7 linked regions of the Cricetulus griseus genome follow. The protein of the gene in region 4 purifies or fractionates together with the protein of the main gene of each other region. This does not show direct contact. Links are inferred from orthologs where the notes say so. Each region holds a gene or a part of one and is shown on either strand. Other genes may lie near its edges. The genes, in order: Wdcp, Spag9, Satb2, Plk1, Prrc1, Mtmr4 and Ccdc6.

What was found.
Region 1: the proteins of Plk1 (region 4) and Wdcp purify together in Homo sapiens (affinity purification with mass spectrometry; 4 studies listed by BioGRID and IntAct, with this or other methods). This does not show direct contact. The link is inferred for Cricetulus griseus from reciprocal best matches to the Homo sapiens genes PLK1 and WDCP.
Region 2: the proteins of Plk1 (region 4) and Spag9 purify together in Homo sapiens (affinity purification with mass spectrometry; 7 studies listed by BioGRID and IntAct, counting the BioPlex papers as one, with this or other methods). This does not show direct contact. The link is inferred for Cricetulus griseus from reciprocal best matches to the Homo sapiens genes PLK1 and SPAG9.
Region 3: the proteins of Plk1 (region 4) and Satb2 purify together in Homo sapiens (affinity purification with mass spectrometry; 3 studies listed by BioGRID and IntAct, counting the BioPlex papers as one, with this or other methods). This does not show direct contact. The link is inferred for Cricetulus griseus from reciprocal best matches to the Homo sapiens genes PLK1 and SATB2.
Region 5: the proteins of Plk1 (region 4) and Prrc1 purify together in Homo sapiens (affinity purification with mass spectrometry; 3 studies listed by BioGRID and IntAct, counting the BioPlex papers as one, with this or other methods). This does not show direct contact. The link is inferred for Cricetulus griseus from reciprocal best matches to the Homo sapiens genes PLK1 and PRRC1.
Region 6: the proteins of Plk1 (region 4) and Mtmr4 purify together in Homo sapiens (affinity purification with mass spectrometry; 3 studies listed by BioGRID, with this or other methods). This does not show direct contact. The link is inferred for Cricetulus griseus from reciprocal best matches to the Homo sapiens genes PLK1 and MTMR4.
Region 7: the proteins of Plk1 (region 4) and Ccdc6 purify together in Homo sapiens (affinity purification with mass spectrometry; 3 studies listed by BioGRID and IntAct, with this or other methods). This does not show direct contact. The link is inferred for Cricetulus griseus from reciprocal best matches to the Homo sapiens genes PLK1 and CCDC6.

Annotation. Positions count from the first base shown.
Region 1 is NC_048600.1:15,619,144-15,623,225, forward strand, and holds the start of Wdcp (WD repeat and coiled-coil-containing protein), read left to right. Parts: upstream 1-1,282; 5' UTR 1,283-1,404; intron 1,405-1,475; exon of another isoform or gene 1,476-2,075; intron 2,076-4,082.
Region 2 is NC_048600.1:107,006,896-107,010,395, reverse strand, and holds part of Spag9 (C-Jun-amino-terminal kinase-interacting protein 4), read right to left. Parts: intron 3,323-3,500; coding exon 3,266-3,322; intron 2,364-3,265; coding exon 2,190-2,363; intron 459-2,189; coding exon 329-458; intron 1-328. UniProt on the Homo sapiens protein: The JNK-interacting protein (JIP) group of scaffold proteins selectively mediates JNK signaling by aggregating specific components of the MAPK cascade to form a functional JNK signaling module.
Region 3 is NC_048595.1:411,291,761-411,295,790, forward strand, and holds the start of Satb2 (DNA-binding protein SATB2), read right to left. Parts: upstream 2,801-4,030; 5' UTR 2,664-2,800; intron 1,401-2,663; 5' UTR 1,342-1,400; coding exon 1,152-1,341; intron 1-1,151. UniProt on the Homo sapiens protein: Binds to DNA, at nuclear matrix- or scaffold-associated regions. Thought to recognize the sugar-phosphate structure of double-stranded DNA.
Region 4 is NC_048596.1:78,505,948-78,509,957, forward strand, and holds the start of Plk1 (serine/threonine-protein kinase PLK1), read right to left. Parts: upstream 2,801-4,010; 5' UTR 2,711-2,800; coding exon 2,309-2,710; intron 1,564-2,308; coding exon 1,395-1,563; intron 766-1,394; coding exon 621-765; intron 1-620. UniProt on the Homo sapiens protein: Serine/threonine-protein kinase that performs several important functions throughout M phase of the cell cycle, including the regulation of centrosome maturation and spindle assembly, the removal of cohesins from chromosome arms, the inactivation of anaphase-promoting complex/cyclosome (APC/C) inhibitors, and the regulation of mitotic exit and cytokinesis.
Region 5 is NC_048595.1:181,592,320-181,595,819, forward strand, and holds part of Prrc1 (protein PRRC1), read right to left. Parts: intron 2,796-3,500; 5' UTR 2,776-2,795; coding exon 2,673-2,775; intron 2,091-2,672; coding exon 1,695-2,090; intron 1,128-1,694; coding exon 967-1,127; intron 1-966. UniProt on the Homo sapiens protein: May act as a regulator of the protein kinase A (PKA) activity during embryonic development.
Region 6 is NC_048600.1:100,763,700-100,767,641, reverse strand, and holds the start of Mtmr4 (myotubularin-related protein 4), read right to left. Parts: upstream 2,801-3,942; coding exon 2,756-2,800; intron 1,358-2,755; coding exon 1,268-1,357; intron 952-1,267; coding exon 835-951; intron 98-834; coding exon 15-97; intron 1-14. UniProt on the Homo sapiens protein: Lipid phosphatase that specifically dephosphorylates the D-3 position of phosphatidylinositol 3-phosphate and phosphatidylinositol 3,5-bisphosphate, generating phosphatidylinositol and phosphatidylinositol 5-phosphate.
Region 7 is NW_023276806.1:267,514,379-267,517,878, reverse strand, and holds part of Ccdc6 (coiled-coil domain-containing protein 6), read left to right. Parts: intron 1-1,512; coding exon 1,513-1,673; intron 1,674-3,500.

The sequences.
Region 1 (4,082 bases), on a different chromosome or scaffold from region 4:
CATATTTATTTAGCACCCACTCGGTGCAAAGCTCCAGGGAGTCCACTCAGTCCTACAGACTAGGAGGGAAAACCAGTAATTAACACTTTAAATACATGTGCTCAGTGCCATGGGGTTTAGAGTACAACGGAAGCATCCGAGACTGATAACTAACCCTGGCTAGGCTTCCCGAGTCTACAGGAGTAGAACAGAGGGAGGGACAGAAACCAATAATTGATGATTTTACCCCAAACACCTTACACCCATATTCAATATACCTCAAAGTTCTGAGTCAGGTATTATTGGGGTCTCACTTTTCAAGGCAAAGGATTGCTCCCTGGGGATTCCAAATTGAATTAAAGCAGAATCGCTGTGCTGCGGGTCCTAGCTGAGGATATAGCTACAGCTTGGAGCAGGAATGAATGAATTCCTTTACCTCTATCCAAAACTGACAGGAATCTAGAAAGATACTTTTGTCCTTTCTGGTTCCTCTACCTCGGTGGTGCTGGAAATTGAACTCAGGGAAGTCAGGGCCTCTTCACACACGCTAAACAAAAAGAGGCTACATCCACAGTTCCTAGGAGGTAGCGTTTTCTTGAAGGCTGGAGGACACTTTCAGAACGTCCCCTCACCCTTTCTGCAAAAATCGGCCTGTTGCTTCTGACAAGAGACGACTGGGAAGTGAATATGGGAAAAAGACCTATCCAAAGGCCCAGAATTAGAACCTGAGGCGTTTCCCTACTCCACTCTTCCACGTGGCTAGGTCGCAGAAAGAGGACTGAAGTTGACGCTCAGGAAAGATGGTTTACCTTACAGTGCAGATCAGGACTTGAAAAACCCCGCGGGCGTGGCTTAGAGTCTTAAGGGCTGCAGAAGCTTGAGACCTCCAACCCTATTGGCTATGGCCTCGAGCAGGTACTTTCTGATTAGGGGTACAACAGATCTGCGACTTGGGCAGGCCTAGGAAGCGGCTTCGGGTGAATGGGTGCTATTTACATTTTGGGAGCGATATTTTACGCGATTTTAAAAGGGAAGTCTCTGACTCCCCGCTCCCAAACTAAGACCAATTGACCCATGTTGACCCTAGGACTTCAATTTCTTCTTAACAACCTCTTCTAACAGAATGGATGAGACGTGCGAGGGAGAAGGGGTTGAAGCGCTTAAGACTGAGTGCGAAGATTTACGGGCGGTGGTTTTCTCGGGAACTACAACTCCCAGAAACCCTTGCGGCAAAACTCTCGCTTACTGGCTAGCGGAAGGACCCGCTGCTAACGTGACGCACCCAATAGCCAATAGACTAGAGGCATTGCCGAGGCCCGAGGGCCGTGGCTTCCGTTAGTTGCCCGGGACTTCTGATCCCCCGTGCTGTGATGTGAACCGACCTCGCGATTTTTATGTGTGGGGCGGGGAGGCAGAGAGACCAAGGTATTTCGTGTCTTTTGCGGCCACGCCTGGTGGTTGTAGGGAGGCTGGGGCTGGGCGAGGAGATGGGGGGCACGTAAGGCCCAGGGATGCAGGCGTGGGGATGAATGAGTTGAGGAGTACGTGGCGGATGGTGTGTGAGGGACAGTAGGTTGAGGACCAGGCTGTTATGGGTTTTTAACAAGTGAATGTATCCCTTGGGACTCATGAATGGTACTTCTGGTAATTTAGCCTAATTTGTAATAGGGTAAAGTCGTCTACGAACTTTGAGGTGCCTCAGCAACTCGAACTGAGAAGTTCTGTCACAAATCACAGTAGCTGAGTTTTTTTGGTTAATTGCAGAAGGCTCTGTAACCGGTTAGTCAGATAAGCTGTAGCCAAAACGTTGTCTCTGTCTTACTTCTCTGTCTTACATCCTTTTGGGGAGGCAGAGGGTTTCTTGTTGTTGCTGTTACTGTTTTGTTTTGGTCTAGTTTGGTCTTGTTGAGATTGGGTATCGTTTTGCTTGCCTGTGCTAGCCTGAAACTCACTGTCCAGACTGACCTTGGACTCGAGGCAGTGTGTGTTGCCCCAGCGTTTGTGCACTTGCTTTGGGACATGGTTGAAAGTCATAGGATAACTTCTGTGAATTGGTTCTCTCCTGCCGCTCTGTGGGATCCAGGGATTGAACTCAGGTATCTATCAGGCTTGTGCACAAACCCTTATTTATCTGCTAAGCCGTCTTGCTAGCTTTCTGAGTTTTTTGTTTTTTTTTTTTTTTTTCAATAACGAGAATTTTTTTGTTTTGTTTTGTTTTGTTTTGTTTTTCGAGACAGGGTTTCTCTAACAGCTCTGGCTGTCCTGGAACTCATTTTGTAGACCCGGCTGGCCTGGAACTCACAGAGATCCACCTGCCTCTGCCTCCTGAGTCCTGGGATTAAAGGCGTGGGCCACCACCGCCTGGGGATGGGACAGCTTTTATGTGTTGGTTTATCCTGGCACTTTGTGGAAGGCCGGGATTGGACTCAGGTCATCAGGCTTTTGAGGCAAACACTTTTACCTACTAAGCCATCTTGCTGACTGTTTGTTCACTCCATTATTCTGGCATTCAGACTCTTTCATGCCCGGCTCCCTTTGGGGGACAAGATCTCACTATGTGCCTCACTAAAGGAGGCTCACACCTTTAATCTCAGCACTCGGGAGGCGGAGGCAGGAGGATCTCTGTGCGTTGGAGACCATCCTGGTCTACAAGAGCTAGTTCCAGACAGCCTCCAAAGCAACAGAGAAACCCTGTGTCGAAAAACAAAAAACAAACAAAAAAAAATTAAAAAAAAAAAAAACCTCACTATGTAACTCTAGCTGGCCTGGAAATCACCATGTAAACCAAGCTAGCCTCAAACTCCCAGAGATCTGACTGCCTTTCCCTCCTTTAGACAAAGAGACCAAGTTAAATATATATATGTAGCAAATAATACAAGCCCTTAATGTATTGTTAATACCCTTTCAAAGAACTTCATTATTCTTAATTTTGGGGGAGGGTGTTAGGGATTGAACTGAGGGTTGAGCATTCAAGGTTGAAACTCTACCAATGACTCACATACTCAGGTCCAGAGTATGTTTTTATATGCTGAAGATGTGTGTCAAATCATCAAGTTGCTGAATAGAAGAGAAAATGGAAATTAGATAATAGACTTTTTGTTTGTTTGTTTTGTTTTTCTCGAGACAGGGTTTCTCTGTTGTTTTGGAGGCTGTCCTAGAACTGGCTCTGTAAAACAGGCTGGCCTCGAACTCACAGAGATCCGCCTGCCTCTGCCTATAGAGTGCTGGGACCAAAGGCATGCACCTCCACCACCTGGCTTAGATAATAAAAGTAACTTTTAGTTTTTAATTACACATATTCTAACTTGAAAGTACCACAAATAGCTGGATATGGTACTCACACCTTTAATCCCAGCACTTAGAAGGTTGAGGTAGGAGGATCACCAAGAGTTTGGGGCCAGCCTGGACTACATAGTGAGTTCCAGGTGAGCGTGGGCTTCAGAGTGAGACTCTGAAAAGAAGTCAAGTAATGCTGGGCAGTGGTGGAGCACACCTTTAATCCCAGCACTCAGGAGGCAGAGACAGGTGGATCTTTGTGAGTTCAAGGCCAGCCTGAACTACAAAGCTACACAGAGAAACCCTGTGTCAAGAAACAAAAACAAAACAAAAAAGTAGTCAAGTAAAAGATAGTGACTGGCAAAGTGACTTGGTGGGTAAAGGTGCTACCAAGCCTGAAGATCTGAGTTTGATCCCCAGAGCCCATATAGTAGAGGTGAAAAAAATGGACTCGCCAAGTTGTCCAGTGACCTCTGTACACTTGAGCATGTGCACACATACGTAAACTGAGATCAATAAAAGGAGTTTTTTAAAAAATTAAAAGACGGGCCATGGTTGTGCACACTTTTAATCCCAAGCACTGGGCATGCAGAGGCAGGCAGCTCTCTGTTAGTCTGAGGCCAGCCTGATCTACAGAGCAAGTTCCAGGACAGCCAAGGCTGTGCAGAGGCCTGTCTTAATGCCATCCACCCCCAAAAGAGAACTGAAAAGGGATCCTGAAGAGAATGTTCAGTGGTTTACAGCACTTGTTGCTCTTACAGAGGACCTGGGTTTGGTTCCAGTATCCATGTGATGTTTGCAACCATCTGTAGCTCCAGTTCCGAGGT
Region 2 (3,500 bases), on a different chromosome or scaffold from region 4:
TGTTCAGCTTGATTCTGTCATTCTTACTTGAAAAATAAGCAAAACCTCAAGTAGCAATTACAGACAAGTTCAACAGGAAGTAGAAGTTCACAATCACACATGTGCACATGAGTACATGTTTGTATAAAAAAAATGCTTGGTCTTTTAGGAGTGTAGGCCTAAAATGTTTTGTTTACATGATAGGGCTCTAAAAATTGCCTGAAAACACCTAGTCTCTAAATTTCTCTAAATGTGCCAAGTCCAAGAAGGCTGAAATGAGAAAATCATGATATTATTTTCAGTTCACCTGCATTTCCTGCTAGACACTTGCATCACATTCCCAAGTCACCTGTTTGTACTTTTGGGGCAGACTCCAGCCGAAAGCTTGTACTCGGCCGTCTTCCTTCTGAACATGCGCCTTCACCTGCCGGTACTGCTCTCTCTTCTGCTCTCTTCGGGAAGCTAAACTAGCCTCAGTTCTAAAAAACAAAAAGAAAAAAAAAGACATTTGCAATTTTAATTAAGTGAATCCAATAAAACCTCTAATCCCAGCATTTGAGTCGACCTTAACTTCACAGAGAATTCAAGACCACCCTGGGGTATATGACGCCCACACACATACACACTGGAACACAAGGATTATACCAAAGCTGATCTTTCCACGTTTGTAAAAACAGCCTTCTGCTGGTGGGAGCAGCACGTTGTATGAAACTGAGTTAGTTATTAGTCATCAAACTATGGGGTTTCAGATGCTATATATGAAAGGAAAAAGTTCTGAAGTAATTTAGGATCTTCCTTTTCTTTTTTAACAAATACCGAGAATTTTCTAATGCCCGATATTGTGCCATAGTATTCTTAGGAGGGTGATATAAATTAAACTTTTAGATTCTACTCACTATTTCACTCTTTTTTAAAAAAATATTTAATTATTTTATGTGTTTTGCCTACATGGATGCCTATGCACCATTTGAATGCCTGGTGTCCTCAGAAGCCAGAAGACAGCATTGGATTCCCTGGGACTGAAGTTTCAGATCATTGCGAGCCACCATGTGGGTGCTGGGAACCAAACACAGGTCCTTTGGAAGAACAGCAGTGTTTTTAACCTCTGAGCCATCTCTTTAGCTCCTATTCATTCATTTTAGAAGACAAAAAGGCAAACTGACTTAGTAAGCGTGAGTAAAATACAAAAATGATTCTAAAAATAATTTCTCTTTCTTTTGGTCATTTAAATTTTTGTGAGGTGACTTTCTGTATAAATCATAGTTTACAAAATCTACTGGTATGTCAGTACTACACATAATGTACAATATTAACCTAACACCTTTGAAATAATTTTTCAGAGAGGAAAAAAAGATGGGCTCTGAGAGATGAATCTGTCCACATGTAGAGTCAGAAGGGAAAACCAAGTCCTTTTGACAACCAAAGCAAATGTTAAAACACTAAGGATTAAATTAAGTATCCAGTATTTCTATTGATATTTATCAATACTGTTGTGTCAACAAAAATTCATTTTCCTTATGAAAACTATGAAGTGCAATTTTCTTTGTTCAAAAATGTGTATTACATTTTATTTATCCAGTGTGTGTGCATGTTTGAATGTGTGCCATGGTGTGCCTGAGGTGCTCAGGGAACAACTTGTAGAATTCTCTCCTTCCAAACATGGGACCCAGGAACCAATCTTAGTTTACCAAGCTTGGTGCAAGCCCCCTTACCTGCTAAGCCTGCACTAGTCCTGAAGTGCAACTTTCGTAAGTACTGGCTACAAGTCATTCATGCATTTTGGGTGTAAAGTCTTACCCTGTGGCCCAGGATGTCCTCAAAATTGCAATCTGCCTGACTCAGTTTCCACAGATTTAGGATTACATTACTTAGTCCTACAGGTAATTTACTTAAAGGCATCCATCCATGATACAAAAACCCATGTTCTTTTTTCTTCTTCTCTCCACAACCCCACCCCCACAAAATAATTTCCTTTGTTCTTTAAGATGAGGCTAAGTGTATAGCTAATGCTAGCCTGAATTGTCTATACAGATTGGGCTGGACATGAACTAGTGATGATCCTTCTGCATCAGCACCCTGGGATTAACAGGCTAAGCTATTACGTCTGGCTAGAAATAGTTCTTTAGTGTTATATGAACTCCTGTGTTGTAAGGGGGAGAGATTCTAACTATGAACTTACTCTTGGCATGACCATTTCTGGCAATACTTACTCCTCACTAAGGAAATCAAATGCCTTGGACTTATCACCAGGGAGCTGAGATAAGGTGCTGCTCCTTTTCTTTACGGAGGGAGTCACGTGAGAAGTGGGTGCATTGTACTTCAGATTCACGGGGGGTTCAGGCTTCTTTGTTGTATTACTTGAAGAGCTAAAAAGTCGGCTGAAACTAATAAAATAAAACAAGCAAACAAACAAAATCCACAAGTATATTTATTACATGCACTGTGAAAACCAATCCCCGATTTTCCATAATTTTTTATGCTCCAGGCAGTGAGTTAGACATTAGCAAAACCAGTTTTTATAGTTATACCACAGCCTGAGCAGTCAGTCACAGCCAAACTTGGACATTCAGGGTAAAGAAACCATTGCTTAGAATGCCAGATGCCTGTTCTTTAATACACAAGTTCCATAATGAAAGTGATGCGCCTGCATATAGAAAGCTTCTACGGAATTAACACAATACACAGGTTCCTTAGCTAGTTCCTATTGGGGATAATATCACAGTGGTTGTTAGGCAGCAAGGGAACAACTGTGTGATGACAGCAGAAGCTTAGTGTGCAGCACTTAGAACAGTCACATCACCAAGTTAACTCATATCATGAATTTTCCAAGCTAAATTTAAGCAACTATTTTCATGTCCACAGTTTAAAAATATTTATGCTTCCAGTAAACAGACTAATCCTAAAAGGGTAAGTTTTAACTTCGGTAAACACACAATACTTCTGGTATAAAAATAATAAAAGTTTAACACACAGAGACAAAGCAAGCAGTACAAATACTAAATTTATCGTCTTTTCTTTGATGGGGATTCATGTAATTGTCAATTTTACAAATAATTCCCCACTGTTTTATGTAAACTGGCAGAAGATTCCACCAAATGCATAACCAACACAATGCAGCTTACGATAGCCCACTTTGGGTCCTCAAGCATAGCTTACCGAGTTGGCATGCTGTATATTAAAGAGAAGAATTTCAGTTTAGCTGTTTCCTCTTAACTAGGAAAAGTCAGTATAATGTTCTCATCTTGACACATCTCCTATGCTTATGGTCCTCAGTATGTATACTCACAACTGCCAGATGCTTGACCTTTTTTTTTCTTGCATGGCTGGATTTTCTCGTGATGCCCTGTGTTAACAAAAAACGTATTATTAGATAGGTGTTGTACTCTTTTCTCCAAAGAGCCAGAGACCCAGGAAGTTCATGGGATACACAGAGTCAACAATTAAATTTAGCAAACAGTTGCTCTGGTGTTTCATGAAACAGCCTGCTAAACCTAACACTGCTTAGATAAGATTCCTAGACC
Region 3 (4,030 bases), on a different chromosome or scaffold from region 4:
TTCAAAACTTTAAAAATTGAGAGGAGGCTCCTTCTCAAGAGAAATGGCCAATTTAAAGAATTGAGGCAAGTGACCCTTAATGTCTACCACAGAGAAAAATAATTAAAAACAGAGAAGTGTCATCTTATTAGGCACATAGAGATGGTGCAAATTAAATATTTACTCCAAAATTCAATGTACACCACTGACATGAGGGTGGGGCCTTACAACTAAGCTTTACCATGAATTTGTATCATTTTATGCTGGTCAATATGAAGAATTACATTAAACATAATTTGCTGCTGAAAACATCTGGGTTGAAGGGGAATCTCTGGCATAATAAAATTAAAGGCATGATTTATCCCAAACAAAAAAAGTCTGAATACTATGTAAATTTGTACATTTCATATTTAAGAGACAGCTAGTTGACTGGCCTGCAACCTAAAAATTATTTTAGTACTTAAATTTTTCTCTGGTCCTATTTTGTAAGGTTACTTTACTAACCACTTTAAAGAAAGTATTTGTAGAAGTAATGAAAACATCAAAAGGCTGTCTTTAAATAATATTTAAATTTTGGGTGGGGAAGCAGCAGGCAGCAAATAAAACTGCTCGCTATTTTTCACCCAATTCTCTAATTCCTAACAAAGTTACAAATGCCGACGTCTAGACTCTGCAGGCAACTTTCAGCATCAAATCCACTAAGAACATAATGGATTTACGGTACTTCTGTTTTTCCTAGAACTTGTCTCTCGGTACTGTCCCTGCTACCAAAAAACACCAAAACCATCTCTCCTGCTCTAGGCTGATTCTCCCTCTCTGTCCCACTAAAATCGAAGCATACAAGCTCCAGCCCTAGAACAGATCCGAGGCAAGGCAAAGGAGTTAAACACGAAAGAGCTCTCTAGGAAAATCTAGAAACAGTTAGCTGGCTGTGACACAGACCTGCCAACACCTCGGCACACGGTGGCAAAGTGCCCAAAAAATGCCACCCTCTGGGTAAACCACTTTCTTGTTTTAACTCGAGATGAAGCTACTACCAGTTGCGGAGAGGCGACAAGGGCATTATTTGGCAACCTGGATTTGACTTCCTGTAATCCTACACCGAAACAGCGCCTAATCAACCTGAACCCTGACACCCAGGCCATTATCACTGGGCCTCCGGCTGCGCGCACCTCCCAGCTCCGGGCTGTTACCTCCCACGGCCTTGGCCACGGCGCCGTTGGGCCTCCCGCGGGCTCCCATGGGGCTGCCGTTCTGCTCCAGCCGGGCCACCTTCACCGGGGGAGGCCCCTTGACGTCCGGGCTGCCGCTCCTTCGGTCGGGGCTGTCCCGCAGACACGGGCTCTCGCTCCGCCGCTCCATGCTGCTCCGATTTGGAGACAAAGTTCCCACCGGCAGGTCGCAATAAAACGCGCAGGGACCTAGGGAGGGGGCGGAGGGGAGGAAAGGGGGAGGGAAAAAAAAAGAGGGAAAACCGCTCACACACGTGATAGACGATCAGGCCAGTGCGCTGCACCGCAGCCACACAAACTTCCTCCCACGCTTCAGAAAGGTCCCAAAGGGGCCCCGGGTAGCGGATCCCAACCTTAAACTGGAGGCTCCAAAGCTGCCCAGAACTTGAGGTACTGAGACCTGCTCAGTTGCAGGTCCCAAGAGTTAGCCCTCAATGGCATGGACAGAGTCGCAGTTCATAGCACTTAGTGCTCCATTCATAGCGGGCAACGCTGGCATTAGCCCTTCTCCGATGGAGAGCCCCCAGCCCCCACTTGGGGGTGGTCAGGGTTTTGAAATGAGAGTACTTCAAAGCAAGAGGTCCCACCCGGCCTGGGAGGGAGCCAGGACATACACGGATCCTTAAGCAAATTAATTGCTTGATAAATGTGCTGTGAATGGCCAGGCAGGAGCCAAAGACTTGATCAATGGATCCATGGAATCCCCGCTTTTTACCTTTATGGATCAAGTACACGAGTACACTTGTGTACACACACACACACACACACACACACACACACACACACACACACACTTTTGCACAAAAAAGTAACTATAATTCCACAGGAATGAGCATCCCAAACACTTTGAGGTTTGTAGGCTATGCTCCATCACAAGATTACAATTATTTCGGAGCATTCTTATCTTTATCTGATCTTGAGTGCTTTTTAAAAAGCCAATAAGCATAAAACATACGCGAAAGAAATTTAGATTATCCGATGCGGGAGCAGACCTCATTAGTCCTAATTTCTAAATCTGGGAAGTTTTTCTCGGGGGTTCCTAGGTGGGCAGCGCTCCACGCAGTTCTCCGCAGTACTCTCAATTTTGGAGGAGTGACCCGGAAGAAGGGAAAACACCTGATGAAACGGCGCCCCAATTGTTACTGACACTCGGGAGAGGAACCCCGAATACACCTGGGGCTCTGAGAATCCTCCAGGGCGCTTTGGATGCGGGAGAAGCCTAGGCGCTGCGGGTGGAAGAGACAAGGTAGAGGTGACAGAGAGGGGAAGGCAGAATTCGAGAGATGTAGGGAGTGTGCGAAGGGTACCGGGAGAGGGTTCCACCGCACTTCCCGGCTTCGCCTAAGGCGCGGGAGAGCGGGAGCCGGAGCCGGGAACGACCGAGGAACTTAGCGCGCCCTGGGCTTCCCGAACTCCCGGCGCCGCGCGAGAGCCCTCGCCCAGCATACTTACTGCTCACGGTCTGTCTGAAACTTGGCTGGCTGGGGCTCTGTCCATGGAGCAAAAGTAGAGAATCCAGGGTGGAAAGTTTCTGGTGATTTGCAGTGTTGTCCTAGTCTTCCTTTCTCTTTCCTCTTTCCCCCTTCCTTTTCCTCTTCCCCGGGTCCTAGCGTTTAAGGTCCTGGGTCAGGGTGTCTTCTGTTCGGAGATGGTTGTTATGATGATGGGGGGGGGGGATGAGGGAGGAGGAGGAGAGGGAAAGGAGGACTCCTCCTAAGGGGCACCCGAGCGAGCGGGGGAGGGGACGGCGGAGGAGGGGGAGAGAGGGGGCTGAAAGAGCCTTTCACACCTTCGGGAAGGAGACCGGTTCTGGAGAGAAAGGGCTAAGGACTGGGAGGCTGCGGCGGCTGCCGGCTTGTACCGCCACTAGCTCGAGAGGAGGCGCGGCCGGAGCCGCGGGGACCGTGCCACCAAGAGCGGAGAAGGCGCGGAGACCCCGGACCGTGAGCAAGAGAAAACGCAGCGGCCGCCCAAGCTGTCACCTCCAACCTCTCCCCTCGCGGCCGCCTCTGCCAGAAGCCAGAGCCGGACTCACTGACAAGCCACAGAGAGAGACACACTGAGAGGGAGATGATTATTAGTTGCGTTGAGTCATCAGGCAAAGTGAGTCCTTTTGGGTTGTCCTCGGTTTCCGATTTCTCCCCCTCCCCCTTTCGGTCCCCAGATCTAGCGCCTTCAAAATAATAATTTGGGGTGGGGGTAGGGGAAGTCTCTGGGTTATTTCGGGATGGGAATGGGGGGGACGGATCTAAACCCAAGCCAGACTGGTCCACCGCAAGGAAGGAGGGGAGTGGGGGGCGGGGAGGAGGGCTGGGGAGGTTGCGGGGGGAGGGGGGCCCCGCCTGGCAGGAAATTAAACATCAATCAATCAATCGCTGTGAGCACGGCGATCCAACGAGCCGGGCTGCGGAGGAGGCATAGGGATAGGCGAGGGGGTGGGAGGCAGGGAGAAAGGAGGAGGAAGGGGAGAGTTGGCGGTGGGAGCGGGGTGGCAAGGACCTCATGCACCGGGCGACGAAGGACGGATGGCTGAGGACTGAGTGCGGCGCGAGGCGGTGGCCACGGCCGGCGGATGGGTGCGTCTGGGCGCTGACGAACGCCAGGGCCCAGGGTCTGGTCCTCCTCCTTGTGGCAAGTCCAGGGAGCAGCCGCCTCGCCCAGCCCCTAGGCGCACTCGTCCCGGCGCGCAGGCTGCGGCTACTAGGCGGGCGCTCGGTGTCGCGGCTCGCCGCAGAGGCGCAGACTGGCGCGCGGGAGGCGGCAGGCGCTGCCTGGTCTCCAGGCTCTGCTAACTGCGCCGAGTACTTTCGACTTTGGAG
Region 4 (4,010 bases):
ATTGTCTAGAGGAAGGGAGCTGGGCTGGATTCACTGACTCAGAACGGATGAGGCTGATCTCCAAGTCTGCTCAGTCTCATAGAAGCCAATGGCTGGGATAAGCCCTCAGAAGAATGCAGGTGACAACACTGAATACCAAGCGCTAGAGATTCCCCAGCTCTGGCCTGCAGTAATAGAGGACTCCTCAAGAACCGCAGAGGCCACTGCTATCTGCCACAGGCACAAGCACCATGATGGAGCTTCTGCCTACCATGAACCTTTCTGCTGATCTGATTCTCCCATCAGCACTCATCAGTGTTTCCAAAGCTTTACTGAAAGTCAGCCAGGGATTTTATTAGACCCAGGTCCAGAACTGAGATTTCCACATCCTAACAAACCCTCAGAGGTATTGATGGTTTGGGTTAGTGCATGCTTTTAGTAAGCAGCAAGGAGCTGGAGGAAGAAGTGTAGACACATTTGGTCCCTTCCCTGGACCATAAGTCCAAGCTACAGGAATGCTATAGATTGATAAATAAGGAAAAGGGGCTTCATGTGGGATCCAGAGGGAAAGGTCAACTGGATGAAATGCCTCAGAAAATCCTGTTGAGACCCAATAGCTCCTGAGTCCATTCCCAACTTACATGATACACCCAATGGACCACACATCCACCTCAAAACTGTGTCCCTTCTTGCTCAGCACCTCGGGAGCTATGTAGTTAGGAGTGCCACATAAGGTCTTCTTTCGTTCACCTTCATATTCCACTTTGGTTGCCAGCCCAAAGTCCCCTGGGACAGAGGGAAGAAGAGAGGTGATTAGCTGCTAGGCCATCTTGTGGCTGCAGACAACTGCCTCAGGACTGACCATAGAGAGCCAGTGCCTCAAGACTCCAGTCTCTGTTCCCGAACCTTCCCACTGCCCTTTACACTCCTCTTTAGATAGCAGGGCTAGGGAAGTAAGATGGCTCAGTAGGTACAGGTGCTTGCCGCTAAGACTAACAACTTGAGTTGACCCTGGAACCCACAATGGAAGAACAGAACTGACTCCAGAAAGTTACCTTCTATCTCGAACCCCACATATATGAAATTTAAAATACATAGGATAGCAGAATTGGATGCACTAGGGAATCAAGTAAATATTCTTTGTGACTGTGACAAGTTTAAGAAAAGTGACAGGAGTATAGGGACTGAGGCAAATCAGAGTCTCAAGGGAAAAGGTGCTTTTCAGCTCAGTAAAGGGACAGCAAAACACTGGCCTGTGGGACACTTACTTTCCATTTCTGGACAAGAAGGCTTTCTGGAGGGCAGCACCTCCATTTCCCACCCACCTTCCACTTCTCTGGCTCCCATTCTCCCAGAGTTCCCCTCCTTGCCACCTCTTGTACTGGCACCAGACACCCGCAGGCCCAGCACCTCACCTATTTTCACCTCCAGATCCTCGTTCAGGAAGAGGTTGCCTAGCTTGAGGTCCCTGTGAATGACCTGATTTCGGTGCAGATACTGGCAGCCCAGGACTATCTGACGTAGATAGTAGCGTGCCTCGGGCTCGGTCAGCGCTTTCCTCCTCTTGTGCAGTTCCAGGAGAGACTGAGGAAGAGGGAAGAAGGTAGTTAAGCCCAAGGAAAAGGGTGGCCAGCTGGATGTGGCCAAGATTAAACCCTCGGGAGTAAAGTATAGACGGAAGTTTCCTATCCCGACCAGCCGATTCCAAATAACTACTCTGAGGCTTATATTAATTATAAATGCTCGGCCTATAGTACAGGCTTAGCTAACTCTTCCACTTATTAACCCATAATTCTTATGTCTTGGCAGGCTCCTAATGGTTCTGTCCATACACTGGTCAGGCCATTATCATTCACAGGACCCCTCTCCTGTTAACGAGTACCCTTACCCAGCGTCTTCTCTCAACCCCTTATTTAGGGGCTTCCTCCCAGCAGGAGACCCTCTCCTTTTCCTGAAAGCTGAGGTCTGACTCCAGACAGCCTCTCCTCCCTCCCCCACTCCAGACCCTGCCCCACTCCACTCCGGAAGTTCTAGGTCCGCGGCAGCCGTAGCTTGGGACCCTTGTTAATCACTTTAAACACCCATTTCCTGCACCTACTGGCAGTCTTGCGTGCAGGAGCCACCTTCCCTAATAATAGCAACAGGTCCCGGGTTCCGCTTGCCCTCAACCCCCGGCCTCAGCAGCTCGGAATGCCAAACACCCTCACCAGGAGCCCCTTCATAATTGCTTGAAACCCAAGCACTCCTCTAGGCCACTCCAAGGCGTCGATGCCTCTTTGCCAGCAAGTTCCCGGTGTGGTCGCCCCAACACCACAGCAGAAACACTCACCCTCCTGCGACAGAGCTCCAAAACCACAAACACAAAGTCGCTGTCCTCAAAAAAGCCGTGGAAGCCTACGACGTGTTGGTGTGCGAGGCTGCGGTGGATAGAAATCTCCATAGACATCTTTTCCTTTTGGTGGGGCTTGAGAAGTAAAGACTTCGGCACGATCTTGCCTGCGAACACCTCCTTTGTGTCTGCATCCGAGATCTCGAAGCATTTGGCAAATCCTCCTTTACCCAGAAAGCGGCCCCGCACATACTGGCGCCGGCTGCGTGGGTCCACTAAGACCTCAGGAATCTCTTTCGACAGCGGGGCGGTCACTGGGGCACCGGTAGCTGCATCTCCAGGAACCCCAGCTTTCCCGAGATCGGCTGGTGCTCGAGCCAGCTTTTTGGCCGCTGCATTCATGCTCCTAAATTTGCTACGCGAACCTGGCCGGGCCGGTGCAGAGATCTTGCCCTGCTCCGCTCCTCCCCGAATTCAAACGCAGCGCTGGGAACGTTACAAGGACCTGCGCGTTGTTGATTGGCCGCGGGGATTTAAAATACAAACCCGCCCAGCGCGCGGCACCATGGGAGTGCTCTACGGCGCAGCCGCTTTTAAACCCCCGATCTTGTGAGGAGAAACTTGATGGGCTGGGACTTAAGGATTAAATGCACGTGGGATACCCTGGGAAACTAGGAGCGGATGGAATACGCGGAAATACCCAGGGGACAGAATTCGGTCCGGCTTTCTGCTCCTCGGCCAGAGAATGCTCCTGTGGTTCATGCCCCTCCTCCAGAGGCTTCTCCAGTTAGGACCTAACTAACACCTTCCTCCACTCCTCCTGGCCTTCTAGATCTGAAACTCCAGGCCTAGAGGTAGCTTGGCAGTGCACCGCCTTCGCCCTCGACTGCCGTCTCCCTGGCTAGTCTATATAAACCCAAACCTGAACAAACCCAGCATGTCTGGCAGGCAAAAGGAAGCTCTGTGGCAACCACTCCCGGAGCCCGAATTGAAAGGAGCTCTAGACTTCTCCAGTAAAACCCAGGGGTCAGCAGTATCTGCAACACCCAGGAACTCCTTAAGAAGGAGCGTGGGTTCAAGATTGCAAGTTAGCCTAAGGCCAGCCTCAGCTACCAGGCAACATTCCTTCCCCCCTACCCTCGAAGGAAAGAAACCGCCCAGGTCTGACCTGCAGGTCAAACAAGACTGTCAGGTGATTCCTACACAAGGTGATCCTAGAACTCGGGAGGCAGAGGCAGGCAGATCTCTGTGAGTTTGAGATCAGCCTAGTCTACAAGAGATAGTTCCAGGACAGTCTCCAAAGCCACAGAGAAACCCTGTCTCGAAAAACCCAAAAAAGAAAAGAAAAAAAGAAAAGCATCAGCTCTCTCCCCCCTCTCGCTGCGTTTGAATTCGGGGAGGAGAGGAGCAGAGCAAGATCTCTGCACCGGCCCGGCCAGGTTCGCGGAGCAAATTTAGGAGCATGAATGCAAGGTTACCTGGCTTGTCCTAAGTTGCTCCAAATAGAGAAAACTAGTTTTTTTAGTCAGAGGGAGGGATGGCTGGTTGGAGAGTGCTAGCAAAGTAGCAGGGCCAAATCTGCCCAGCAGGGGTGTTTGTTGGCCTTCATTTAAAAAAAAAAAAAAAAAAATTTACAACACTTAAAAGGAATGGCCACACAGTGCAGGTGAGTGACTTTCCTAAAAAAGTCAACTCTGGCCGC
Region 5 (3,500 bases), on a different chromosome or scaffold from region 4:
CAGGAGGACTGCAAACTTCAGGTCAGCCCAGGATACCGAGTGAGCTCCAAGGCATATTGATGAGACTCTTCCTAAGAGTGAAAAGAGAGCTGGGATCAGGCTAGCAATGAAGTACTTACCAGTATACGTAAGGCCGCAGGTTCAGTCCTCAATACTACCCAAACAACAAGAACAAAAGTGTATATGTTTACACATTTTTCTCAATTAGAGAAAAATGATTTAAAAACTTACAAGTAGATAATACTGATAACGGATTTGTAAAATAAAACATGATAAATGCAACAGCATCGATGACAAAGTAGTTATTAAGAAATACATTCTAAAGGAAGAAGGTTTAGAGCTGAGAGATGCATAAGGACCTGAGTTCGGGTCCCAGCACCCATTTAGAAAGCACAGCACTCCAGCACATGTCTTAATGCCCTACCAGTGGGCTGGAGCACAGGTGAGAGGATCCTTGGAGCTCACTGGCAAGCCATCCCAGCTGAATGGATGGATTCCAAATTCAGTGACAGATCCTGTCCCCAAAAAGTAATGTGGTAAACAGAAGAAGACCCCTTATGGTGGCCTCCACATTCACAACACACGCGCACACACACACACACACACACACACACACACACACACACCCTTGAACACATTAATCCATATAGACATACACAGACCCCAAATACACAAGAAACTAAGACAGACAGACAATTTTACAGCTGGAAGGACATTAATGAAGTCTTCTAGAAAAGACAAAGAACACAATACCCATGTCACTAATCCAACTGGATTCTAATTAAGAGAACAAGTACATGTGTATAGAGATGCACAATGAGCAAGCACCAACTACAGAAATCTGTCCATAAAGGGCTTGCTTTCCCTTACTCTATACATTGTGTTCCCTCCCTATGCTGTGTTTCTCTAATTGATCCCTGTCAGTTTTACAATTAGAATAGTAACTTGAAAGGCAAACACCCTTACCTTGATAAAACCCCAGATCCCACCAGTAGGTGCATCATCCTGGCTTCTAGTAATTCTAGGATCTTCCTGTTCCTCTGGGAAAGTAATGGCTGACGTGGTTCCAGGTCCCTGTGCCAGCGAAGTCATACTGGCTTGTTGAGTGATGGGGGCTGGCAAAATACCTAGTCAAGAGCACAAATTTGATTGGGTAACTTATTCCACAAATGTTTTCCTATAAAAAGATGTATCATATGAGACGCTCAAAACAAATTCAATCACAGAACTACTTAAGCATCTAAAGATAAAATTATCAACTCAAACCTTTATAAACACAAATGTAAAAATCACTCAAAAGGTATTTCCCCCCTTACATAGGTTTACACAGATAAACACATGATAGGGGATATGGGAATTCTTTCTCATACCTCAAATGTCAATCATGCATCAATTTTTATACCGCCCAAAAACTATACAATAAGTTACATTAGCTTTATTGTTAATAACTTAAATGGCAAAGAGATGAGCATGGGAAACACTGGAATTCAGAGTAAGACTAGAAAATTAATGTGGAGAAATCGAAGCCCTAGGAGCAGCAGATGGTCAAAGTCTATACAGAAACTAAAGTAAGTACGACACTGTCCACCTCAAATCACTGTCTAATATACAAACCACAGTGCAACATAATTCAGGCACACAGTAATAAAATGTCAAATACTGCCGAGTACTGCGGAACAGTAAGAGAAGATCACCTGTGACTGGAGGTGCAGAAAACGATGGCATCAAAGGTGTCTGGGGTGCTCTCCCAGCGTGGCCCCTCGTGATATCATAAGCTGTACCAACAGAAAACCCCGATATAGGAGGACCTGCAGGTGGTGCAGATAAAAAAGCACCGGAGGCGGAAGTTGCAGGTGGGAAGTGGGATAGAGGTGGGCTGCTGAAGGCAGTGCCAGGTGATGAAGACACAGAGGGGGGCATTGAAGTGCCACTCAGGGGAACCGAGGGAGCTGGAGACATCGACATTGGCACAAAAGGAGGCGGTGCTGACGGCTGCACAGGGGGCAGGGATGGCTGAGGTGTAGAATACGCATGTGGTGGCAAGGACTCCATCCTGGACACATTGGGAGATGAGAAGGAACTGGTTGCAGCTAGAAAAAAAAAAAAAAAAGTAAGGGGGATAAACACACAAAGTTGAAAAAGCTTTTTATCTCATTTTCAAACTTCCACTGCTTGGGAAATTCCTAATGTGGTAAGCCAAATCTTAGTAATTAATTTTAAAGGTGTAATTTCCAGCGCATAGCAATTGTACATGAGTACAGACCCTGTGATTCCACTGGAGAAATAGCACAACTCAAAGACAGCACTGCCCGAGAGCAAACCTCCCTTTCCATTTGTTCTTAGACAAGGTCATTTTTCATCCCTGATTTGAACATAAAAACCTAGACCACTAATACCTCAAAAAGATTAATCCCCACAGTCAAAAAACAACAGACAACAAATGCTTTGAAAGCTTGCCAGGAGGGTTTGTAGTGAATATGAACAGAGAGAGCAAACCTGCTAACAGCAAGACATTACACTTCCTTACTTGTAACAAGCAAGGTTATTTCTGTGTTGTTGTTTACATTTAAAAGGGCTATTTCTTTGCACCCTGACAAGATTAGAGAAGCATTAACGACATATTCTTCTAATTGATTCAGAGAGACCAGTGTCTTCCCCAACCTCCAACCCACCTAAGTGAACTTCCGTGGAGGGTATGGCAGCGGCAGCCAGGCCTGCAGGGTTCAGGGGAGGGGTTCCAGGTGGAGTTGTCTCTATTCCACTTTCTTCCATCATTTTTCCTCAATTATGATGCACTGCAAATATATAAAAAATGTGGTAAGCTTCACACAGGGGCAGCAGCTCACATAGTTAGAGAACAATTAAGAATGACCACAAAGAGGCAAGTCTCCCTTTAGTACTCATTAACACAACCATGTCTGGAGGAAGGACTACTGCAAGGCTGGAGAGATGACCCACCAGGTGACAGCACTTGTGTTCCTGCAGAGGACCTGAGTTCAGATCCCAGTGCCCAATCAGATGGCTCACAACTACCTGAACTTGTGCTTCAGGGTATCTAACACCCTCTTCTAGCCTCCAAAGGCAAAGGCACCCACATACCTGTCTTCTAGCCTCTAGCCTCCAAAGGCAAAGGCACCCACATACCTGTCTTTTTTTTTTTTTTTTTTTTTTTTTTTTGATTTTTGAGACAGGGTTTCTCTGTGTAGCTTTGGAGCCTATCCTGGCACTCGCTCTGGAGACCAGCCTGGCCTCAAAATCACAGAGATCCGCCTGCCTCTGCCTGCCGAGTGCTGGGATTAAAGGTGTGCGCCACCAACGCCTGGCTTGTTTTGTTTTGCTTTTTTGGTTTTCACCCACATACATGTCACACACACACAATATTTAAAATACTTTTTTTAGTCTGAAAAAAGTCTGCATAATCTTTGGGTCTGGTTCATTTCTGTGTATAATTTTTTTATTTGCAACAATTTTTATAACAGTTTAAATAAATTTAAAAAGTC
Region 6 (3,942 bases), on a different chromosome or scaffold from region 4:
CCCATTGTGCTCACCTCACCACTTTGGAGTCCTTGCAGGCAATGTGCAACTGAAACATATCACGACTTTCCACACTGTCAATCATCCGGAGGGGCACCTGCAGTGGAACAGCAAAGTGAGGTTCAAATACACCCTAGCCTGGAAGGTGACACACCAATGGAAAGAAGGAAGCCAGAATCTGCGGAGGGTCTGTTTAAGGCCTGGTAACTATGCCAAGTACTTCACACATGTAACCAGTTAATACCATAATAATCCTAAAGGCAGGTGATTTTATTCGGTAAGGAGGACATCATCCCTTGTCCAAGGTGACACAGAAGTGGCCGTGCAAGATAAAAGGCCAAATTTGCCTGGTTCCAAAGTCTATGTTCTTCTGATAATGCCACTGTTACCATACTCTTCTAAAAGCCTACACAGGGAGCTGGAGAGGTAGCTCAGTGGTTAGCACTTGCTGCTCTTACAGAGGACCAACCTGGGTTTACTTCCCAGCACTGACACAATTGCTCACAACCTCCTGTAACTCCAGTTTGATACCCTCATCTGGTCTCCTCGGGCACAAGGCACACACAGGGAACGCATACATACAGGCATGCAGGTAATCACAAATAAACATAAAATAAAAAATAAATCTTTAAAGGAGGTAGGGCCCAAACAGGATAAAAGAAAGAGGGGAAGAGAGACACACAAACCTGTACACAGAGGAATGAAGCATGAAATACAAAAGGCAGAGAGAAGGGAGTACTAACTGTTTTTAGAGACGTAATCAGGTAGAGAACTGGAACAATGCCACTTTGAAGCACACCACTTTAGTGTAAGGGAAGCAAGATGAGAACTTACGTTGATGACAGAGTCTTTGAACTTGATATGCAGCCGGTAGTTGGAGATGGCAATGAGGGCATCAGCTGCCCGGCCCAGGAATTCCACTCCCTCACCCTGTAGCACTGTGAAGGGTACCTGTCAAAGGTCAGAGAAACTCTTAGCCCAGAATCAAGCCTCTCCCTTGTTTTTCTCTGCAGCCCCTGTTCTCTAGGAACCGATCAGAAAAGTGTGGATAATGAAGAAGAGTCGAAAGTCAGAACATTAGTCATCAGCTGTCCAGGAAAACTGCCTCTCCTCTGAGGGTAAAGGCTCCAACAATGCACACACCCTCTCCCTTCAGAGGCCTAGAAGGAGGAAGCCAGAGTTCTGGTAGGTCCTCTGAAGATTTGGGAGTCTAGAGCACTAACTGGGCAGGAAGCCCATCTGCCCTGAGCCTCCTGTTCTTCCTTACCTGAAGATTCTCTTCCTCCTTCACAAGTTCCTTGGGGGGGAACAGATCCTTGGCTTGGATGTACTCCAGGCTGGGAGGCCCCTCTTCACCCTGCAGGGAGGCCAGAACCTTGGAGTTGCCAGACCCCACCTGGCTCCTGAGGCTCATTCACTTTCCTCCTCTACCAACAAACCTAGAGACACCCTCCTCATCATAGATCTAAAGGCTCTGGTTCCTAGAGGAGGGAAAGGAGGCCGGGCTTGGCTGGAGGCAGGGTGACATAGAGGTGTACTCAGGGAAACATGAGGTTAGCCAAGGAGGAGCTGGGGATCTACACAATTTAAAGAGGCTTCGCCTTAGAACCAACATTGCAAAAACTGTGGGGGGGGGGGATGAGGGTTGGAACAAGTCAGACTCATGTCAAAATAAGACAAGGACTGAGAGAGAGACACCTGAGGAACAGGAGCCAGGTGTGGTAGCTAGTTGGAGAGAGAAGGGAAACCAGGCCACTCTGGCCACTCAGGCATCAACCTGGTGGGTGGAGACAAAGGAGGAGGTTGTGGGGGATTCAGTCCCATGCCTCTAGAGGGCCTTTGTGAATGCCTTCAAAAAGGAAGATGTGTTTTGGAGCTGAGCTTATCTTCACACTGGGCTCTGTGCTGCTGAAAAGCCCCCACTACCTGCCAAGTGCCAAGCAACCCGCCCCGCCTGCTGATCTGAGGGGAACTCCTAAGGAATACCCATAGCAAGCAGAAGTCACTCTGCTCCCAATTACCAAGGGAGAGGAAAAGAGGGAATCCACGCTCAGGGAGGAAGCAGGAGACCCAAGGACAGCCAGGGGAGAGGAGGCCTGGCAGACACCTACGGGGGGGGGGGGGGGAGCTGGGGGGTACACGACATCTGAGAGGACAGATGGGGGAAGCTGGGAAGGAGCATTAGCCAGAGGGGAGGAGGGGAAGACTGGGGATGATTCAGAGATACAGAACCCTGCAGAGGCAGGAAAGATGGAGAAGAGAGGCTGTCTGGGGCACAGTCAAGGAGAAAAGGCTGGTATGTCAGGTGAACGATGGAGTGAGTGAGGGGGAGGGGACTGGAGACCTAGAGACAGCTCACAAACATCCAAGCTCCTCGTTCAGCCCCCTAACATCCCACACAGCCTACTAGGCACATCCTACATCCCCCAAGCAAGGATGTAGCGGGTGGGACCAAGATGGAGAGGAGGAGGTAATGGGATGTACCCCTGCAGGGCGGGGCCTGAAAATCTGCAGTCAAGGGCAGTGGCTGCAGAGCCAGAAAGAATCACAGAATTTTTATCCCTGGCCTTCTACAATCCCCAGTACCCGCTTTCTTGAAGCAAGTCTGAGAGAGAAAGGAGCTAACCTGTCTCCCCTGCCCCTAAGGGTTGGTTGGGGTCGTGCGGGGGTCCTTGGGCATAGCTGTGGGTACAGCATGCTTTGAGCGTCCCTCAACCCTCACCCCAGGCCTTGGCAGGACAGGCCTGACACTTACGAAGCAGCTAAGCATGGAGCAGGAGACGCGGGCGGTCAGGCTCATGGTCGCGGGCTGTCTGGGCCAGGGCACATGTCCCCGGAGCCGCTGCGCTGCCCGCCAGCCCCGGGCGTCCGCTGCATCCCGGCTGCAGGGCCCGCCTGATGCAGCCGCGGCCAGAAGCAAGCGCCCTGGCGCCAGGACCCAGCCTCTGCTCCCGCGCGCCTCTCCCCTCCTCTCCACAATGGAGCGGGCCCGGCTCCGCCCTCCGACAAGAACGCAGAAGGGAGGGGAGTCCAGGGACAGGAGCGACCAGGACGTCGCCGGGGAGGCGGAGGCGGAGCGGCTCTCAGGGCCCTGCCCGCCGCCCTGGCTCCTCCCTTGTAGCCCCCCAGTCCGCGTCCGCCCCCCCCCACCCGCCCCGGACCTCTAGGGACATTCTAGGGTGGGTCAAGGAACCGCCCTGGGATGGCTCAGAAAGGGGAAGCGAGTCCTCCCACACCTTTTCATTTCCCATTTTTCCAGGTGTGCTACCCTACACCCTTGTCACACAATATTTCCCACCTTCTTCCCTCCTCTCAGAGCTCCCTCTATGATTGCTGCGGATCCCAAGATGGAGCCCATCCATGTTCTTTGCAGCCCCAAGCCTTCCTTCTTTCCCTCTGAACCTATGCTCGGTTCATTGGCCTCTTCCACTATCCTGCTTTCACTAAACTCCTCTGTCCTCTAAAAAGAATATTGGTCTGGTGTTATCTTAGTGGCTATTTCCCATCTCTGTAAGGGAAACCGTTTTTTTGTTTTTTGTTTTTTGTTTTTTAATTTTTTTATTTCATGGTCCTCACATGCCCTGGACAATGGAAAAGAAAATCCTCCTGGAAGAACTTCTTCGTCTGAGAGAAGAACTGGGATTATGAGCCACTGTTGCTATAGAAAAACAAAACTCAAAAGCCAGGAGTAGAAAGAATGAATGGAGTTGGGCAGTAGTGAGCCAAGGAAGAAGGAGTAGTCAGTGATAAGGGCTTAGTGTTTCCAAAAGTAACAGAAGGAGCTTGCTAGAACTCTGCAACTTCCTGTACCTGGTAACTTTCAGAAACGAGGGCTTTCTTTGGGGGGTTGGGGGGGTTGGCGACCGGGATGAACAGAAAAATCTGGTGGCACTTTTTTAAAGTACAATAATGCTGAGCAGTGTCAAACATTACCCTACACGA
Region 7 (3,500 bases), on a different chromosome or scaffold from region 4:
AGATTGCCTTCGTCCTCGTTTTTGGTCACTCTGTACTTGGGGGTTGGAAGGGACAAGGCTTCTGGGAATGGCAGGAAGATCCTGTCTCGGAGCTTTGTATGGGATAAAGGCGAGTTTCCTTTTAAGTTGATTATTAGTTCCCTGCCCCAGAATCCTGTGTTTGTCTCTGAGAAGCCTGTGCCATTCTGTTCCACACTGTTCTGAGTTCATATGTAGAATTACAAACAGCCAACCACAGAGCTTAAGAAAAGTGAAGATTTGAAATATATGTTAGGAAAAATCCTCCAGCCATAACCACTCAGCACTATGGTAGCAGTTCTAATACATTGAATCTTGAAGTTATTTTGTGATTGCGACCACATTTACCTATTAATTTTCTCAACTAGGGTAGAACTGCAGGTAAGTCCGTTTACAGTTGTGTCAAATTGAGAGGTAAACAATTCAATATAAAGCAAACCCCAGGAGCCCCCAGCAGCTTATAAAAGGTGGTTAAAGAGGGTTGCAGTTAGCCTGCCTTTTTGGAATGCAGTTAGAGGCTTTATGTACATATAATTGTATTGTTATTGAACTTAGCTGTAGGAAGTGGTCATTTTGTAGGTAAAATGCTGTTGAGCCTTTTCTGAGTTTTATCTGATAATGATAATTGGTAGGGAAGTGGGCACACCAGCCATTAACCAAATAATTCTGACTTGGTTTGGGTGTTTTTTTTTAACATTTTATTGTTGGCCCCAGTTTTCCAAACCTTCCACCCAAGTTTTACTTGGGAGGAGCTCTAGTGGCTATTAAGTAACTTCATCCTCCGGGGCAATTCATAGCAGTTCCTAAATTTCACCCAGAGCATCAAGAGGGGAGAATTTCTTTATTCCCTCCATCCTCCGCAGCCAGCTTGCTAACCATACAGTCAGCTAGGTTTGCTGGACTCTGGGCATAGTAACCAGAAACGTGTTCAACAGACTTCACAGTTATGATTGACTGCCAGGGTCACTCAAAGAGCAGAAGGAACAGGGATGATGGCTCCGTGGTGTCGTATTTGCTGCACAAAGCCTGAGGACCGGCCTGAGTTGAGATTCCCAGTACCCACATAAAGCTGGATACACTAGCCCATGCGTGTAATCCCAGTGTGCTCCTAAAGTGAGATGGGAGGTGGAGACAGGAGAATTCCCAGAAGCCTGGGGCCAGTTTACCTTGCTTAGCAGCAGAGAAGAAGAGACCTCGTTGCAGAGGGGAGAGGCGAGGACCCATACCTAAGAATGTCCTCTCACTTCCATGTGCGGGTACCCCAGGTACACCTGTGCTAACACCTGAACACACAATAAACACAACAGAAATGAGATCTTGCCAGTCTTCCTGTTTGACCAGTGATAATTGGTCAGGATGGACAGAGAGGTGTCAGTCTGTCCAATGGGCGATTTTCAGGCCGGCTCTCGGCTCAAATGCTGAATAGTGTTCTACCGCAAACTGTTATTCATTGTTTCTTTTTTTTTTTTTTTTTCCTTTTTCTTTTCCGTGAAGAATCCTACAGGAGAAACTAGATCAGCCCGTGTCTGCCCCACCATCACCTAGAGACATCTCCATGGAGATCGACTCTCCTGAGAACATGATGAGGCATATCAGGTTTTTAAAGAACGAAGTGGAGCGGCTGAAGAAGCAGCTGCGGGCTGCCCAGTTACAGCGTACGTGGCTCCCAACCCCCCGAGTTCCTGTCTGCTGAATCAGTGCGGGTACCAAGCCCACAGCCGTCCCTGTGCTTACTAGTGAACTCGTGGCGGCAGCCGTATCCATGGTGTACTTTATTAGCAGTGCGCAGACATTTGTACACGTGTTAGCTGTCTTTCTGGGATATAGTTTTAAAAAGAAAGCGATCACGGGGGGGGGGGGGTTGGCGGCAATAATTTAGAATACTTTCAGAAGATAAATTCTGATAATCTCAAGAGGGGGGTCACTGAGGTAGCAGGATCCCGGATATCTTCCTTCCTTCCTTGCCGAGATAAAATTCTCTGACTTAAGGGAGAATGTGCTCATTTGGCATGTGGGTTACAGCTCACGGTGACATGGGAAGTCACAGAGGAACCGGTCACATCATACCCATGGTTGGAAATGGAGAACGGTTGATAAATGCATACACGTGCTTGGCTACCTTCCTATTTAAATATGTATATATACATATGTATATATATTATGACTTCTTTGGGAATTCCGTGTCAAGTGTTTTGATTATAGTCACCATTTGCTCCTCCCCCTAGCTCCTCCCTCGCCCCCCAGCTTTGTGTCTGCATTTTATTTAACTCCCCGAACCCACTCATGCTGTCTAGGTACCCAAGTGGGGAGCCATCCATTGCAGCAGAGTCAGCCTGCTGGGTCCTGACTCCGACCTAGACCTCAAGAACACTGCCTGGGAACAGAGTCACTCACTATGCATGGCCTCCCACATCGATGGGTATAATTAAAATAATCCCTCCGTACCATGTTCTGAGTCCCCTTTCCATGTGGTTCTGTTACTGAACTTGGCTGGGGGAGCGGGTCACAACCTGTAACCCCAAATCAGGTCTGGCTACTTGTCCTCAGTGAGGCGATAAAAAGGCCAAATTCATAGTGGAAAGCAGAAAAGGAAGATTTAGTCACTGGCCACATTGGGGAAGGGGACAAAGAGCCAGCTAGACCCCTCAAGTCTGTTTTCCAGGTCCTACGGTGAGATAGAAGTTTACATAAGGGACCAAGGATTTGCACATGTAAGCAGCTCTGGTCAAAGCATGGTCCCACCCCTGGTGGATGTACCTTTGGGTTTGAGTCTCATCTTGTACTGTACCAAATCTCTTCCAAGGAGATAGGTTCCCCTCTGGCTGTCTCCCTCTCCTTCTCCCAGTGTGAGATTCCTGGGGGAAATTTCAATGTCTTTGGTGCCCACTGTTTCAGTAGTCTGATAGAGTAAAAGACAAAAGTGTTTTAGAGTGTTTGCATTTCTGCCTGTTAAAGTTCTAGACGGTATCAAATTGACAATTAAAACTACCAGGCCAGGTGACCTTTGTAGTCTGTTTGATGTGCTAATGAATCTGCACAGGGGCTCTCTGCACTTCTGCTCTGTGAAGGGAGGACTGTGGAGGGTGTTTGCCTTCCTTACTGCTGAATCTAACCTCAGCTGACATTTGCGCATGGTATTTGCAGAATAAATGCTTTTGAAATTTAGGCTTAATATTTTGAAAAAGGCCAAGTTGTGGAGTTGGAAGTCAGGGTCCTGGGTTTCTGAACTTGTCTGGGTCTCTCTGCATTTTTAGGGCTCTGCCCTCCTCCTGCAAATGTTTGGTTGCAGACATCTCTTCCATGAGGTAAAATAGTGGGAGAAGGGCTTCCCTTTCCCTGTTACTGCCAGGTGAGCAGTCTGCACAGGCCCATAACTAGTGTTCTCCCAGATGTGTGCGCGCATACAAAATTGCTTCATACCAAGAATTAGACAGTAATCAGGACACTCTGCATCTTTCTCTTTGAAAACACTTCTGTTTTTT